Tamandua tetradactyla: one gene and its partner. The protein of the gene in region 1 purifies or fractionates together with the protein of each later gene. This does not show direct contact. Links are inferred from orthologs where the notes say so. Each region holds a gene or a part of one and is shown in the gene's direction. Other genes may lie near its edges. The genes, in order: GET3 and UBL4A.

Region 1 (7,360 bases):
TTTGGTGGGTGTGCTTGCTGGTGGGGGGAAGGTGTACATTAGAGAGCAAAGAAAGCCGACCACGCATACGACTCCAGCACTAAATCAAGTTCTTTACTTCCCAGAAGTGATGACTAAGGGGAAGGAAAGGAGGGTGGGAGAAGAGGAAGACAGAGAGAGCCAGAGAGAGTGGGGCAGCGGGAAGAGGGTGGACAGTAAACCACTGTTCTATGAAGTCTCAGGAGGCAAGTGCTCAAGGTAAAAAAGAGTCCTGGAGAATCGTCCGCGGCTGCAGGAAAACATCTCGGTGTCCTTCTGTGTATAAGTCCTCGGGGGGAAGGCTGCTGCCGCTGCTGCCACATTAAATAGTATGTACATCGCAAAGAGTCCAAGGCCATGGGCAGGTGGGGGGAGGGGTCATTTCACCAGGGGCCGAGTCTTATCGTCGTCACCACACTGGTGGGCTTTGTACTTTTTCACCTCTGCCATGTACTTGGCCCACGCGTCACCTTTACTTGTTAATACCTGGGACGGAGGAGGAAGAGGAGCAAAGGGGTGGGGGGGTGGGATGTCAGGGAGGCTCTGATCTGAGGTCAAGACTATCCAGAGGCAGCTACCCACCCCGAGTGCTGCCCTTCCAGAAGGGCCTAGGTGTGAGGGAAAAGACAGGCAGGGTCAAGATATCTGGGGATTCTGTGTAAGGCCCTTCTTCCCCACCAGCACCACTCTGGGAGGGACTGGGCTCAGGAGAAAGACAGGGTAGGCGCCCCCGCACACCAACACCTGCTCACCTCGTCTTCCGTCTTCTGCTTCTTGGCTACTATTCCCGTCTTGAGGGCTAGTTTGTTCCCGCCTCTGCGCTTGCCCACCTGGGTGAAGGGACAGAAGACTGCAACGGTTACGGGAGCCGGGGCCCGCCCGTGGCGGTGCTGAGGCCCACTACACCTTCCTAGCCTGGCCTGGCGGCCCGTCCTGACGCCGCGCCCAGCTCCGCCAGCCGGCCAACCTGCGCAGCAATCAGAGAGGAGCACACGCGACTCTTAGCGCCTGCCCCAGCCCGTGATGCCCAGGCAGTCCTGGGCCCCCACGCTGCCCTCCCTGGGAGTGAGAAGAGCACCCGCCTCAGTGGGGAGAGGCTCCTTCTTCACTCTCCATGCTGAGGCCTCATCCTCTCCTTGCAGGGACTGCGTGGGTGAAAATTTCTCCCTTTATTGAGCACTTACTGTATGCTAAGCTCTGGGCCAAGTGCTTTGGACATTATCATCTCAGTTCACTTTCACAGTTAGTCCAAGATGACCATTATAACTGTGCCCATTTTACAGAAGAGGAAAGGCTTGGAGGAGAGGTTGCCCCTGGGTCATGCTGGCAGCTAAAATGGGGCTTGCCTCATGATCAGGTGGGTCTGAGCTACACACAGCATCCTTAAAGGAGCAATGCCATCTTCCCTGCACTAACCTGGCCCAGCTACTCTGTAGGTGCTCCCGCAACAGCCCCTCAATATGAACAAACAAAAAGACATTAATAACTCCTGCCACTCCCACTCACAGAGGGTCACCCAGCCTCGACTCCCAGGCTGGTTCTCACACCAGCCCATTTCTTAGCACTTTAACCACACTCAAAATACACAAATACATGTCCAGTAATACACAACTGGATCCAGGACTTGACCCCATCCCCAGCCCCAGGCTGTTATTCTCAAATCAGCCCTTCTTTCTCCAACACCATGGGGACTTAATCTCAAAACCAGAGATAAAGCAAGCCCAGGAATGACAAAAAAAAAAAGGTCCGGTTTATTTTATTTAGACCAGAGATTTTGGTTCTTGGCACTATCAACATTTTGGGCCAGAGGATTCTTTGCTGAGGTGGTCTGTTTTGTGCATTGTAGAATGTTTAGCAGCATCCCTGACCTCTACTCACTAGATGCCAGTAGCACACCCCCTCCCCCACAAGCTAAGACAATCAAAAATGTCCCCAGACTTTGCTAAATGTATCTCCCGGATGGGGGGCGGGGGGATCATACTCCGTGGACAACCACTGATCAGCCTTTCCTATAAAACAGGCCAGGAGCTAACGAGTATTCTAGGATTGCTTCATCATATACCCTTACCATATTCAAAGATGCTAGGATCTCCGTTTTTGCAAATAGTGAAAACGAGGCTAGGCCAACCTGCCCACTCCAAGAAAGCAGAGTTCTTGTCTGTCATGGTAACCCCTGCATATCCAGCATCTCGCACAATGCCCGGCACAAGGTAAGGTGCTCAATAAGTGGACACTGCACAAATGTGGTTCAGGGAAGTTAAGCAATTTTCCTAAGATTAAACAGGAAGCGGTCTGAGTGTCTAACTCCGCAGAGCTCAGACTCCAGCACTTAAATTGGCCCTCCTTCCCCACAGTCGGGGATCCAAAGTCCGGGTACCACTCAAACAGGAATCCTAGTATCCCGGTGCGATTCTCCGGCTCCCGCGGGCAGCTTCCGGGAATCCCCGCTCCCAGACCCTTCTCGACGGGAATCCAGGCTCTGCATACTCAGCGGGTGGCCCGAACGGCCCCAGCCTCCTCATCCGGGCAGGATTGGGCGGGGGTAAATCTGAATTCCGATTCCCCTTCTCGGGCCCCAATTCACCCCTGCCAGGGCAGGCCCTGGCGCCCGCCCCCACCCCCGCGGCTCCTTACGAAGCTGAGCGTGGGGCCCGGGCCGCCCTTCCTCTTCGGCTCCCCGGGGCCCGCGGCGGCCGGCTGGTCGGGACGCGGCGGACCCGGAGGCGGCTCCTCCTGCCGCTGTCGCTGCTCCTCCTCCATCTTCCGCTTGAACAGCTCCAGGAAGCTGCCGTCGTTAGCGAACAAGTTCACGCCGCCTGACACCGGGCTCGAGCCTGCGCCCGACACCTCCTCATCCCCGCTCTCGGGTGACGTCCCAGGCCCCGACTCTGCCCATCGACTCCCGCCGCCGCCGCCGCCCGCAGGGCCCGGTGCCTCCCGACCCGGAGGCTCCGCCCGTCTCCCTCGGGCAGCCATTTTGTCGCCAGGTGCCGCGCAAAGGACTGCGGGAAGGCCACTCCGGCCCCGCGCTTGGCGCCCGACTCGTCTGGTCCCGGGCAAGGCATGCCGGGAAGAGCGGTCTGGCCGTCAGGCGTCGGCCTTAAGGGCGGGGCCCGAGGGGCGGGGCGAACGAAGGCCAGCGACCTGGGCGGGGCGGGCTTTTAAAATCCAACTGGGTTCGGCTTGTGGTTACGCAGATCCGTGCGCCCCAGGAACGAGACTATAGTCTGGGACTAGGGCCACAGCTGGTCCTCTAGACTGGAGTCCCCCTTTGGAACTGGGGGCACAATAGCTTTCCGAGGCTAGGATCCCGGGAGAATATCTGTGGGTAGGAACCCCGTCTTGGGCGGTGGGCTCAACTGACGCTTTGGAACTGGGTCCCCAACTAAGTGTAAAGGATATCGCTGAACTGGGCACCCCGCCCAGAATGGGGTCACCTCTGAGGTGAGAGCCTGTATCTGGGATGGTGCTCCCATCTGGGAATGGGGTCACAGCTAGCTCCGTGCGGCTGGGTTCCCTGCCTGAAACTAGGGGTATGTTTTAGGCTGGAGAATTCAAATGAAGCTGGGGTATTTCTAGGCTAGAGTCCCTACCTAAGGATAGAAGTATTTCTGGACTGAGGTCCTCGCCAAGGCCAAGGACGCAGTTTGTATTCCTGCCCAGGGCAGAGGCTCAAACATCCCCTCGAACGGGGTGCAAGAGCAAGGAAGTTTTCGGGGATACGGCTCAGGATGCACGGACGCTGTCCACAAGTGGAATCTTTCTCTCTCTAACCCAATCGCAACCCGGGGACCTGACTCCAGTCAACTATTCATTACATCTTTGATCGGTGTGCAGCAAGAGCCAGGAGGCTCGCAGTCAATTGATAACAGAGGGAGCGGGCCTGAGACGTTGTGGAGACCCAACTGGGAGAAAAGCGGGGGAAAGGATCGACACGAAGCTGAGCCTGGGCTGTCAGGCCGGGGTGGACCTCGGACGTAACTTCGCGGGGAGGGCAGGCACCGAGTGTTTGGCGGGTTGCTTAGGCGAGGTTGGCGCTACCGGGACAGTAGAGTGATTGGTGGAAGTCAGAAAAGATGTAGCCAATGAAAGGCGGGCTGCAATACTTTGGGCCCAATCAGTGAAGGGGAGTAGCCTGAGACGTACCAATATGTTATTTACGCAGGGAGAGTATTTAGACGGCTGTAGAAGAGAGGTTTGTAAGGGGAGCCCTAGAAGCGGAAAATATGAGAAGCAGAACTTTTCTTCACTCCTGGAAACGTGCCGCAAGGAAACCAATTCAGGCTCCGAGCCTTGATGGGGATGACACGAAGAACGCCCCCCTCTGTTTCTTTGCATGGTGCGCTCCGCTCGGTCACGTGAGCCGGTTCCAAGATGGCGGCAGGGGTGGCCGGGTGGGGGGTTGAGGCGGAGGAGTTCGAGGATGCGCCTGATGTGGAGCCGCTGGAGCCCACGCTAAGCAACATCATCGAGCAGCGCAGCCTTAAGTGGATCTTCGTTGGGGGCAAGGGTGGCGTGGGCAAGACCACCTGCAGGTAAGGAGACTGCGGCGGGAGCCAGTAGAACGGGTGGGACGTACCATGGAAAAGGGGAGGTCAGAGATGGGCGCTTCCACCCGGGTAAGGGGGCTGCGCCGGAGTCTTCCAAGTTATACTGTCAGAAAGTTACCTAGAACGAAAGGAAAATACTTCCTGAACGCAGTCCTGGCAATCTCTGAATTGAACCATCAATTCGGTTCAAGGGCCGAACCACAGTGAACCCAGCTCACGGGGGGGCTGGGAGGGCACTCAGATGTCCCAGTCAGCTGTACCAGCTGTACCAGAGTGAGCTCACAGTAGAGGGAGGGAGAGGGACACGGCAAACTACTCTGGATAGTTGAACCTGTCTAGGGGCACTTAATCAGACTGTTCCTGGCAGCTGATCCAAACCAGACTCAACTCAGAGGAGAGAGAAGGGTCGCTGGGGCAAGTTCTCTTGAACAAGTGGACTGAACCATCCTGAGCTTGGCAGCAGCTGCTAGGGACCCCTTAACTTAGAGATGAGGGAGGGGCACACTGCACATATGCTAGCTGGTCAAGCACCAGCCAGAGGGGCCAATAAGTGAGGTCAGGGAGTGTGCTCCCTGCAGGGATTGAGACTTGAGGCTTTCTCCCCCACTTTTTGCCTCAAGGACCCTGCTAATCTAGGTTCCCCGCTCTTAGGGTCCCACATCTCCCCTGCAGACCTGGGACAGGGGAGTCCAGTTCCTTCTCTCCACCTTTCGGCCTTTCCCTTGCCCAGCTGCAGCCTGGCGGTCCAGCTCTCTAAGGGGCGGGAGAGTGTTCTGATCATCTCCACAGACCCAGCCCACAACATCTCGGACGCATTTGACCAGAAGTTCTCCAAGGTGCCTACCAAGGTCAAAGGTTATGACAACCTCTTCGCCATGGTGAGTGGAGCAGGGCTCAGCTCCCCACATCTGGCAAAGACCCCTCCTCTTCCACCATCAGCCACCCTATCCTGCCCATTCTACATTTTATGTCTCTCTTGATTCCACCCCTCCCTCAACATACCCACAGACAACAAGTAAGGAATGTTTTGAGGAGCTGAGTGGCCACAGCTCAGTGAACAAGAGGAGGGAAAGGAGCGAGGTTAGAGAGGTCAGCCGTGGCCAGGTAGTGTAGGACCTTGCAGGCTACAGTGAGTGGTTTGGTCTGATTCCAAGTTTAATGGGAAACTGTTGGTTTTAGGCTGGGCAATGGCATGGCCAATTCCACGTCCCAGAGAGCTCCCTCTGGCTGCCATGAGGAGTGGGTCGTAATGGCAAGGGTAGAAGCAGAGAGACAAGCAAGGAGGCTGTGAGAGATGACAGCAGCCCAGACAGGCGTGTGGGCAGAAGTCTGGAAGAAAAGTGGTCAGATTTGGGATGTGTTTGGAAGTAAAGCAGTGAAATGTCTTGGTCGTGATGGGTGAGAAAAAAGGATGGATTAAATACGTCTCTTAGTTGTCTCCCCAAGCAGCTGGGATGAGGAAAACCAGGGGAGGAGCAGGTTTATGAGGGACCAGTTGAGAGTTCTGTTTTGGCCATGGTGAATCCACGGTGCCTGCTGGACATCTAAGTTGAGATATCTTTAGACAGCAAGTTAATTAAATATTTGATTTGGGAGTCATTGTCCCAAGGGTGGTAATTAAAGCCGTGTGAATGGATGAGAGTATGAGAAAACAGACCCAGAAACAAGCCCTGGAACACATCACTATTTAGGGTCCAGAAGAGGAGGAGGAGGAGCCGCCAGTGAAACCAGAGGAAAGCCAGGGAGTGTGGGGTCCCAAGCACCAGGAAGAGACAGGGTTTCCAGCAAGAAGAGGTCATCACTCTGGCAGGTGCAAACATTTTGGAGACAGAGGCAAAAGCTCTGCTAGAGTGGGTGAGATGAGGAGGTGGTAATGGTTCTGAACCACTCTGCTAAGAGGTGTCACCAGAGAAATCAGGACATTGTTGGAGGGGGATGTGGGGTAAGGAGGGCTTTTTGAGAAAGAAGATCTAGAGCATGTTTGCTGCAGCAAACACTCCAACAGGGAGGAACAAATGATGCTGCAGGATGCCAAGACGATTCTAGCAGAGGACAATCCCCAGGCCTGAGCTCCATCTGGCACATGGCCCAGGACTTGGGCTTTGCCAGGATCAGGGACTCAGAGATAAGGCACAGAATTGGGGCATTTCCCAATGGCTTCTCTTTTCTCAGACACCCAAGGTGAGTGAGAGACTCAGCCGAGAGCAAGAGGGGCGAAGGGGACAGAAGTCTGAGGAGGAAAAAGATGTGACATCAGCACTTCAGAGGGGGAAAGGAGGACCCAAATGGTCTCCTGGCTTGTACTGCTGGTTGGCAGTTTGTGACCAGAAAGGGGGGACCCAGATGGGAGTTACTCATCAGGTTGGGCACATCCTCAGGCACAGCAATACCAGGGAATTGGGAGTTACCAGGCTGGGGACTTTGCCAACTCCAGAGGGAAGGGGAAGTATTTGCCAAGGTAGCCTGTGGCACCCAGGGCAAATAAGGGTGCTGGCTAAGAAGGACACCAGCAGTGGAAAAGTGGCAGGGGTTAGGGGACAAAGCAGCCCAAAGATGTGAAGAATAAGAAAGGCAGGGGGTGAGGAGATGAAGGCGAGAGCTTAGGTGGGAGGGTAGAGGTGGCCTAACAACTAGAAATAACCCACTAAGGGTATGGCTCGGGGGTAACAGGTTGGCAAGCCCCCTGGAGGGAAGGGCCTTTGAGGCCAGCACATGGGGGACCTCGTCCTCCTTGAAGTCACCAAGAAGAGATGATATGGGCAGGGGATGGAGAGGGGCAGGCCGGGAGTCCC
Region 2 (6,575 bases), on another chromosome or scaffold:
GTCACTGTCTGCTGGCACCCTTTCCACACCCTCCCACCACCTTTGTCCCCATCCTTGAGGCCACTTGCTCCATCCATCCCTCTCCCTGAAGCCTGTTGGCGCGCCAAATAGTTTCGACGGCGGACAATTTCTAGGAGTCCATTTAGTGTTCCACGACAGGGAAACGGGCGCTAGGTCAATAGTCGGAACGAATGAAAGTGGAACTCGGCATGAGGCCTGGGCCCCGGGGTCCGGATTGGTCCACCTCTGAGCCGAAATCCCCGTCCGGGCCCTAACCGTGTGTCCCCCTTGCCCCACGCCCCAGCGTTTTGCGGGGCACGGCTAGGGCCCCTTCCCGGCACAGGGCGCGCGACAAGGCTCAGCGACTGGAGGAGGCGCGCCCATGGGCGGCCCCACGGGACTCGGGACGCCGCCAGGCACCACCCACCTCCGCCCTCCTCGCCGCGCCCAGTAATGTCACATCCGGTCAGAACCCAACCCGGACGCGAGAGGTGAGTGGTCCGCCGCGGGAGGGGGCGGGCACGGGGGCGGGGCCTCGAGGCGGGGAGGGGCGGAGCCCCGAGGGCCGAGCTCACAGGCGTCCGGCGGGCCCGGCAGGCGCCGGCGCCGAGCTCCGCGGCCGCGGAAGGTGAGCGCCTCCGGGCCGGGCGGGGGGCGGGAGGGCGGAAGGCCGCGTCTGGCCCCAGCCTCGCTCCGGCGCCCCGGCAGGACCGGGCCGGCCACCTCGCAAGCTCGAGGCCCGGCGCGGCCGTGGGTCCCGGGAGCGGGACGAGGGCTGCCCTGACCCCCGCGCTCCCACCGGGTCTCCCCGATTGGCGCCCGGGAGCGAGAGGCAGCTCGGACCCCGGGGAGTGCTGGGCGAGCTTCCGGAGCCCCAGGTGGGGAGGCTCCCGCGACCGTCGCCGCCACAGCCCGGCCAGGGGGGACGACGCCTCAGGGGCCCGGCTTCCACAGCGTGCCCTGCCATGCCGCCTGGCCCGACCCCGCCGGCTCTTCTGGCAGAAGGGGTCTGGGGTCTAGTCTGCGCGGTGACTGAACGCCGCCAGCCATTCCGGGAAGATGGGGGCATGGGGGTGGGTGGCCCGTGGCCCCTCTCTCCTGTCTGAAATGGTTTGGCACCGCCCTGGTGGCTTCGGTCCAGGGTGCCTTTATCTTGTCCATGTGAGTCTCCTCCAGTCCTCTGATTTTCCAGCATCCCTCCCCACCCCACCCCCATCCCCACCCCGTGGGACTCAAGGTTCCACCAAGGCCTCGGGGTGGGTGACCGAAGCTCCCAAACCAGCAGAGGCCGTGTCATTGTGTGTGTGGGTGGGGAGTGGTGGTGACCTATTTGCCTCACCTATCCTCCACCCCACCCCCACCTCCCCCTCCTCCCCAGTCTCCAATGTGGCATAGGCCAGGGCCAAAGAGTACTAGAACTGGGGGAACAGGTGGCGGCTCTTCCGTGACCGTGACTCTGTGAGGTGTGAGGCAACTGAGAGTCCTGTCATGCAACTGTCCCCATCCTGTTTGCCCCAGTTCCAGCAGGTGATGTGACAATAAGGCAGTGGTTGTGGAAATCCAGAAGGGGAGGGAGGAAAACCTGGCCCTTTAGCTCTGAGCACCCCTCTCCCCATCACCCCTCACCCCAACACACTCACAGTCACATTGAGAGTTAGAGGCTGTGGCCAGAATGCGTGAGGGGTGGGGTGGGGGGAGAGGAGTGTCTGCATTCTGAGCAGAGCCTTGCAGATACGATATTGCAGCTCCAGAAGCTCAAGTTCTGGCACTGCCAGAGGTGTGGGGGCTATGTGGGGAAAAGGAGAAGTCCCAGGCAGACATGTGGCCCTATCTGATCCCCTCCTGCTGCTCCTTCCAGCAACTTCCCCAGGGAAAGGGAACCTGCCTTTTCTGCTGTCCACAAGGAGGGCAGCCAGGTAGCCACAGCAGCAGCTTCCCCAACCATGTTTCTGGGGGCCTTCTGGTGGTCACTCACTGCCCACATGGTTTTGCTGACTTCGCTGTGCCCCAGAAATGATGCTCAAACTCCCTGGCCCACTTGGTCGAAGGTGCCCAGGTCTGGCCCGACCAGCATTTCCCAGCAGCAGCTTTTGCTTTTGTCATCTCCAGGAAGCCTTTCAGAGACTTCACCCAGGTTGTGGGATCACTGTGGCCCCAAGGCAAAGGCGGTGGGGGACAGGCACACGTAGTTTAGTTGGAGTGGTGCCAGGACTGGGGTGACTCCCCTTGACTCCCTTTGACTCAGGACATCTCTGCACTGTCACTGCGATAGGCCAGGCCAGGGACATCCGTGGAGACCGGCAGACTGAACAGAACCCCTGCCCCTAGGTGCCCCTCTGGGCAAGGCAGCTATGCCGGGACAGGGGACAGCTTGAAGAGATTCAAGGGCCAGCAGCGGGCACTGCCCTTGTGTTCCACATCCCCCAAGCTGCCGGTACCCGCGGAGGCATGCAGTCTCCCTCACCGGCTTCCTCTCTGTGTCCCCTCTGTCCTCAGGGAGAGCACACCATCAAGGAAGGCAGCACAAGCCAGACCTCGCCCATGGCCCCTCCCCAGGACGCTCCTACGGCACCAGCTGGGCTGCTCTCCTAAGCCCAGGAGGGCCCGGGAGAAGCCATGCTGTTAGGGAGGGCCAGCCCCAAGGGGCACCAGGCCGCGTGGTGTCATTGCACAGGCCCCCTGGCCATGTTCAGGGCTACCCTGCTGCTGGCCAGCCTGCCATGGGGGGTCCGAGGGACAGCCGGGGCCAGCCTCGGCATGGCTCTGGGCCCCACCGGGCCGCTTCCGGGGGCCCACTACTTGAACATTGGGGATGGCTCCGTGATGGAGTTTGAGTTCCCAGAGGAGAGCGAGGGCATCATCGTCATCTCTAGCCGGTACCCAGGCCAGCACAACGGGACAGGGCCCGGCCCCACTCTCAGGGTCACCTCCCTGGACACGGAGGTGCTAACTATCCAGAACGTGAGTGCCTTAAGTTGGGGAGGCGGGCGTGGCTTCGTGGTGAGCATCCGCTCCGGCCTGGCGGGGCTGGCCCCACTGCACATCAGTCTCCTGGACCACCGGGAGGCCCAGCCCGTGGTGATTGAGGAGCGGAGAGATTTCCGCATCAAGGTCTCCCCGGCAGAAGACACGCCCACCAGCCTCAGCACCGACCTGGTCCACTTCTCGGAGAACCCCCTGCTCTACCTACTCCTGCCGCTGATCTTCGTCAACAAGTGTTCGTTTGGGTGCAAGGTGGAGCTCCAGGACCTGAAGGGGCTTCTGCAGAACCCCCAGCCCATGCTGCTTGGCCTGCTGGGCCAGTTCCTTGTCATGCCGTTCTACGCCTTCCTGCTGGCCAAGGCCTTCATGCTGCCCAAGGCCCTGGCGCTCGGCCTCATTGTCACCTGCTCTTCACCCGGGGGTGGGGGGAGCTACCTCTTCAGCCTTCTTCTCGGAGGGGACGTCACCCTTGCCATCTCGATGACGTTCATCTCAACGGTGGCCGCCACCGGCCTGCTGCCCCTGTCCTCCGCCATGTACAGCCACCTGCTCAGCATCCACGAGACGCTCCACCTGCCCATCTCCAAGATCCTGGGGACCCTGCTCTTCATCGCCATCCCCATCGCGGCAGGGGTGGTGATCAAGTGCAAGCTGCCCAAGTTCTCCCAGCTGCTGCTGCAGGTCATCAAGCCCTTCAGCTTCGTCCTCCTCCTGGGCGGCCTCTTCCTGGCCTACCACATGGGGGTCTTCATCCTGGTGGGCGTCAGCTTCCCCATTGTGCTGGCCGGCCTCACGGTGCCCCTGGTGGGCCTCCTGGTGGGCTACTGCCTGGCCAGGTGCCTGAAGCTGCCTGAGGCCCAGCGGCGGACCGTGAGCATCGAGGTCGGGGTGCAGAACAGCCTGCTGGCCTTGGCCGTGCTGCAGCTGTCCTTCCGCCGCCTCCAGGCCGACTACGCCTCCCAGGCCCCCTTCATCGTGGCGCTGAGCGGCACCTCGGAGATGCTGGCCATGGTGGTTGGCCACTTCATCTACAGCAGCCTGTTCCCAGTTCCCTGAGCACCCAGCTTCCAGCAACCCGAGGCCCCACGGCCCACCCACCGTCCGCGTGTACCAAAGGCCTTTAGTTCTCATGCACTATGCACTCAAAAAAAAAAAAAATCCAGGCTTATTTTTTGTACCGATTTTTTTATTCTCCAGCTTTCAGTGCCAAAGAGGCCACGCTGCGTGAGGGCACTGCCCGGCAAAACGATATTTCAATAAAAGAGAGAAAGCCAGCTTGGGTCCCTTTTGATCTTTGCCCTTTGGGGGCCGGAGGTGCCGGGTAGGTGTGCACCAGGGTGGAGGGCCGGCCAGCGGGCGCGGTGGCCTGAGCACAGGTGCCCCCGGGTCCTGCCTGGTCTGGGCATCTGCAGCTGCGGAGGGCAAGGAGGCTGCGCTCAGGCCTTGGTTTTTATGGGCGTCGGGCTCTTTCAGGCCCCACCCTCCCTCACCCCGTGAGGGGTGGGGCCTCGGGGTTCTCGAAGACAGCGGTGGGAGGATGGGGCTGGGCAATCCCCGCCTGCTCGCAAACTCAGCTGGGTTTTCCACAGCTAGACCAGAAAAGGAGTGGGGGTGGGTGCGGGGGGGAAATAAAGCAATCGGGACGCGGAGCTAGCCGGGGCAGGGCGGGGCGGCCCTCCCCTCCAGTCACCCCGCTCGCACTGCCTGGGCCCAGAGCAGGACAAGCTCGCGGACTCCGGGAGAGGCAGCCCATCGGGCCGCAGACGGCCAGCGCGGTCGCGGGAACCTGCCACCTCCCCCTGGCCCGGCTCCCCGGACGGGGCTCCCCCTGACCCACCTCGAGCCTCCTCCTCCCCCAGCAGGGCTCTGCCCCCAGCGCGCGCGCGTGGCCGTGGCCGGGCGGCCGGCGGGACTCCTCCCCCAGGGGGCGGGGCGAAACGGGGGCGGGGCCTGCTTCCGGCGGCGGCGGGCGGTTCCGGCGCGCTCCCGGGGCGGCGGCGGCGGCGGCGGCGGGCGGTGAGGGCGCGCGCGGGCCGCAGTGGACGGCGCGGCGGCCGCCATGCAGCTGACGGTAAAGGCGCTCCAGGGCCGGGAGTGCAGCCTGCAGGTAGCGGCGCGCCGCGGGACCCGGCCCGGGTGGGGACGGGGCGGCCGGGGAGCCCACCCCCGCGCGGCCCGAGGCTGGCGGGCTCAACCCCGGCTCCCACCCCCACCCCCCACCCCCTTTCGGCCCGTCCAGGTGTCAGAGGACGAGCTGGTGGCCACGCTCAAGCATCTGGTCTCCGAGAAGCTCAACGTCCCCGTGCGCCAGCAGCGGCTGCTGTTCAAGGGCAAGGCCCTGGCAGGTAACCCGGGTGGAGACACCCAGGGAGCCCCGCAGGAAGTCGGGGAGCTGGGTGTCAGAGGCCGCGCCCTGCCCCCCGGCGGGCGCCGAGTGCCCTGCTTGACCCTCGGGCGCCGAAGCAGGGTCCCCAACCAGGGCCTCCTCGGTGTGCGCTCTTTGGGGTGGGCAGCACTTCCTCGGGGGCGCCCCCGCTCTCCCCCGCACCCAGCCATAGATGGTAAGGCACGCCACCCACTTGGCTGTGGCAGATGGGAAGCGACTGTCCGACTACAGCATCGGACCCAATTCCAAGCTCAACCTAGCAGTCAAGCCCCTGGAGAAGGTGTTGCTGGAAGCAGACACGGCCCGGAGACGGGCCGAGGCGCCGCCTTCACCCCCACCCCCCGCCACCTGGCAGCTGATCTCCAAAGTCTTAGGCCGACATTTCAGCGCCGCAGATGCCAGTCGGGTCCTGGAGCAGCTCCAGCGGGTGAGAACTGCATAGCATCCCCACGCCCTGGGCCTCCGGTCCCTCCAGTCCCAGCTGCCTCCAGACCTTGCCTCTGGCACCGCCACCCCCCTGAGTCCTCCTGGCCCCTCTCTCTTCAGGATTACGAGAGGTCCCTGAGCCGCCTGACACTGGATGACATCGAACGCTTGGCTAGCCGCTTCCTGCACCCCGAAGTGACCGAGGCCCTGGAGAAGGGGCTCTCCAAATAAGGGTCTTGGAGCGGGGGGGTGGGGGTGGGGGGGGGTGGGGGGGGCAGAGCCGTAGCTGCATGTTGCATGAAATGTGTTCTCAGGTTGCCACGTGGCTCATCATAGTAATAACAGCCCACGCCCCACTCAAAACACTTGGCCTGGCTCGCCCACGGACCCCTCAGGAGAGGCGGGGATAGCCAGGAGCCAGCCTCTTGAAGTACCTCAGGGTGAGAAAGCAGCAAGTGGCTTCCAAGGCTTCCAAGGGACAGGCTTCGGCACTCAGTGCTGAGCCCACCGCAGATGCATCTTTGAGCAACTCTTCTCCTAAGCCCGAAAGGGGAAGCCACTGCCCAGGAGCCCAGGCCTGCCCTCACCCCTATGGGAGGCCTGGCCCCCACCCTCAGCCTCCCCGGGGCTGCTGTGGCCAGTGTGCTCTCAACGAAGGGAAAGTAGGTGGGGGGCTCTCGGGTGGGACCTTGGGCAAGGCCCTGTGCCATACTGGCACCCCCAGCCATTGACTCTGCCTGATGAGGGCCCCCCTGTCCGTTTAAGTCCCTCCTTCTTGCTC

Evidence for each region.
Region 2: the proteins of GET3 (region 1) and UBL4A purify together in Homo sapiens (affinity purification with mass spectrometry; 4 studies listed by BioGRID and IntAct, with this or other methods). This does not show direct contact. The link is inferred for Tamandua tetradactyla from reciprocal best matches to the Homo sapiens genes GET3 and UBL4A.

What each region holds. Positions count from the first base shown.
Region 1 is NC_135337.1:89,874,015-89,881,374, reverse strand, and holds the start of GET3 (ATPase GET3), read left to right. Parts: upstream 1-4,184; 5' UTR 4,185-4,392; coding exon 4,393-4,553; intron 4,554-5,298; coding exon 5,299-5,446; intron 5,447-7,360. Other genes in the region: TRIR (telomerase RNA component interacting RNase), read right to left, coding at 397-504, 771-848, 2,653-2,994.
Region 2 is NC_135353.1:6,801,559-6,808,133, reverse strand, and holds UBL4A (ubiquitin-like protein 4A), read left to right. Parts: upstream 1-4,991; 5' UTR 4,992-5,041; coding exon 5,042-5,089; intron 5,090-5,221; coding exon 5,222-5,327; intron 5,328-5,574; coding exon 5,575-5,795; intron 5,796-5,914; coding exon 5,915-6,025; 3' UTR 6,026-6,046; downstream 6,047-6,575. Other genes in the region: SLC10A3 (P3 protein), read left to right, coding at 2,617-4,038. UniProt on the Homo sapiens protein: As part of a cytosolic protein quality control complex, the BAG6/BAT3 complex, maintains misfolded and hydrophobic patches-containing proteins in a soluble state and participates in their proper delivery to the endoplasmic reticulum or alternatively can promote their sorting to the proteasome where they undergo degradation.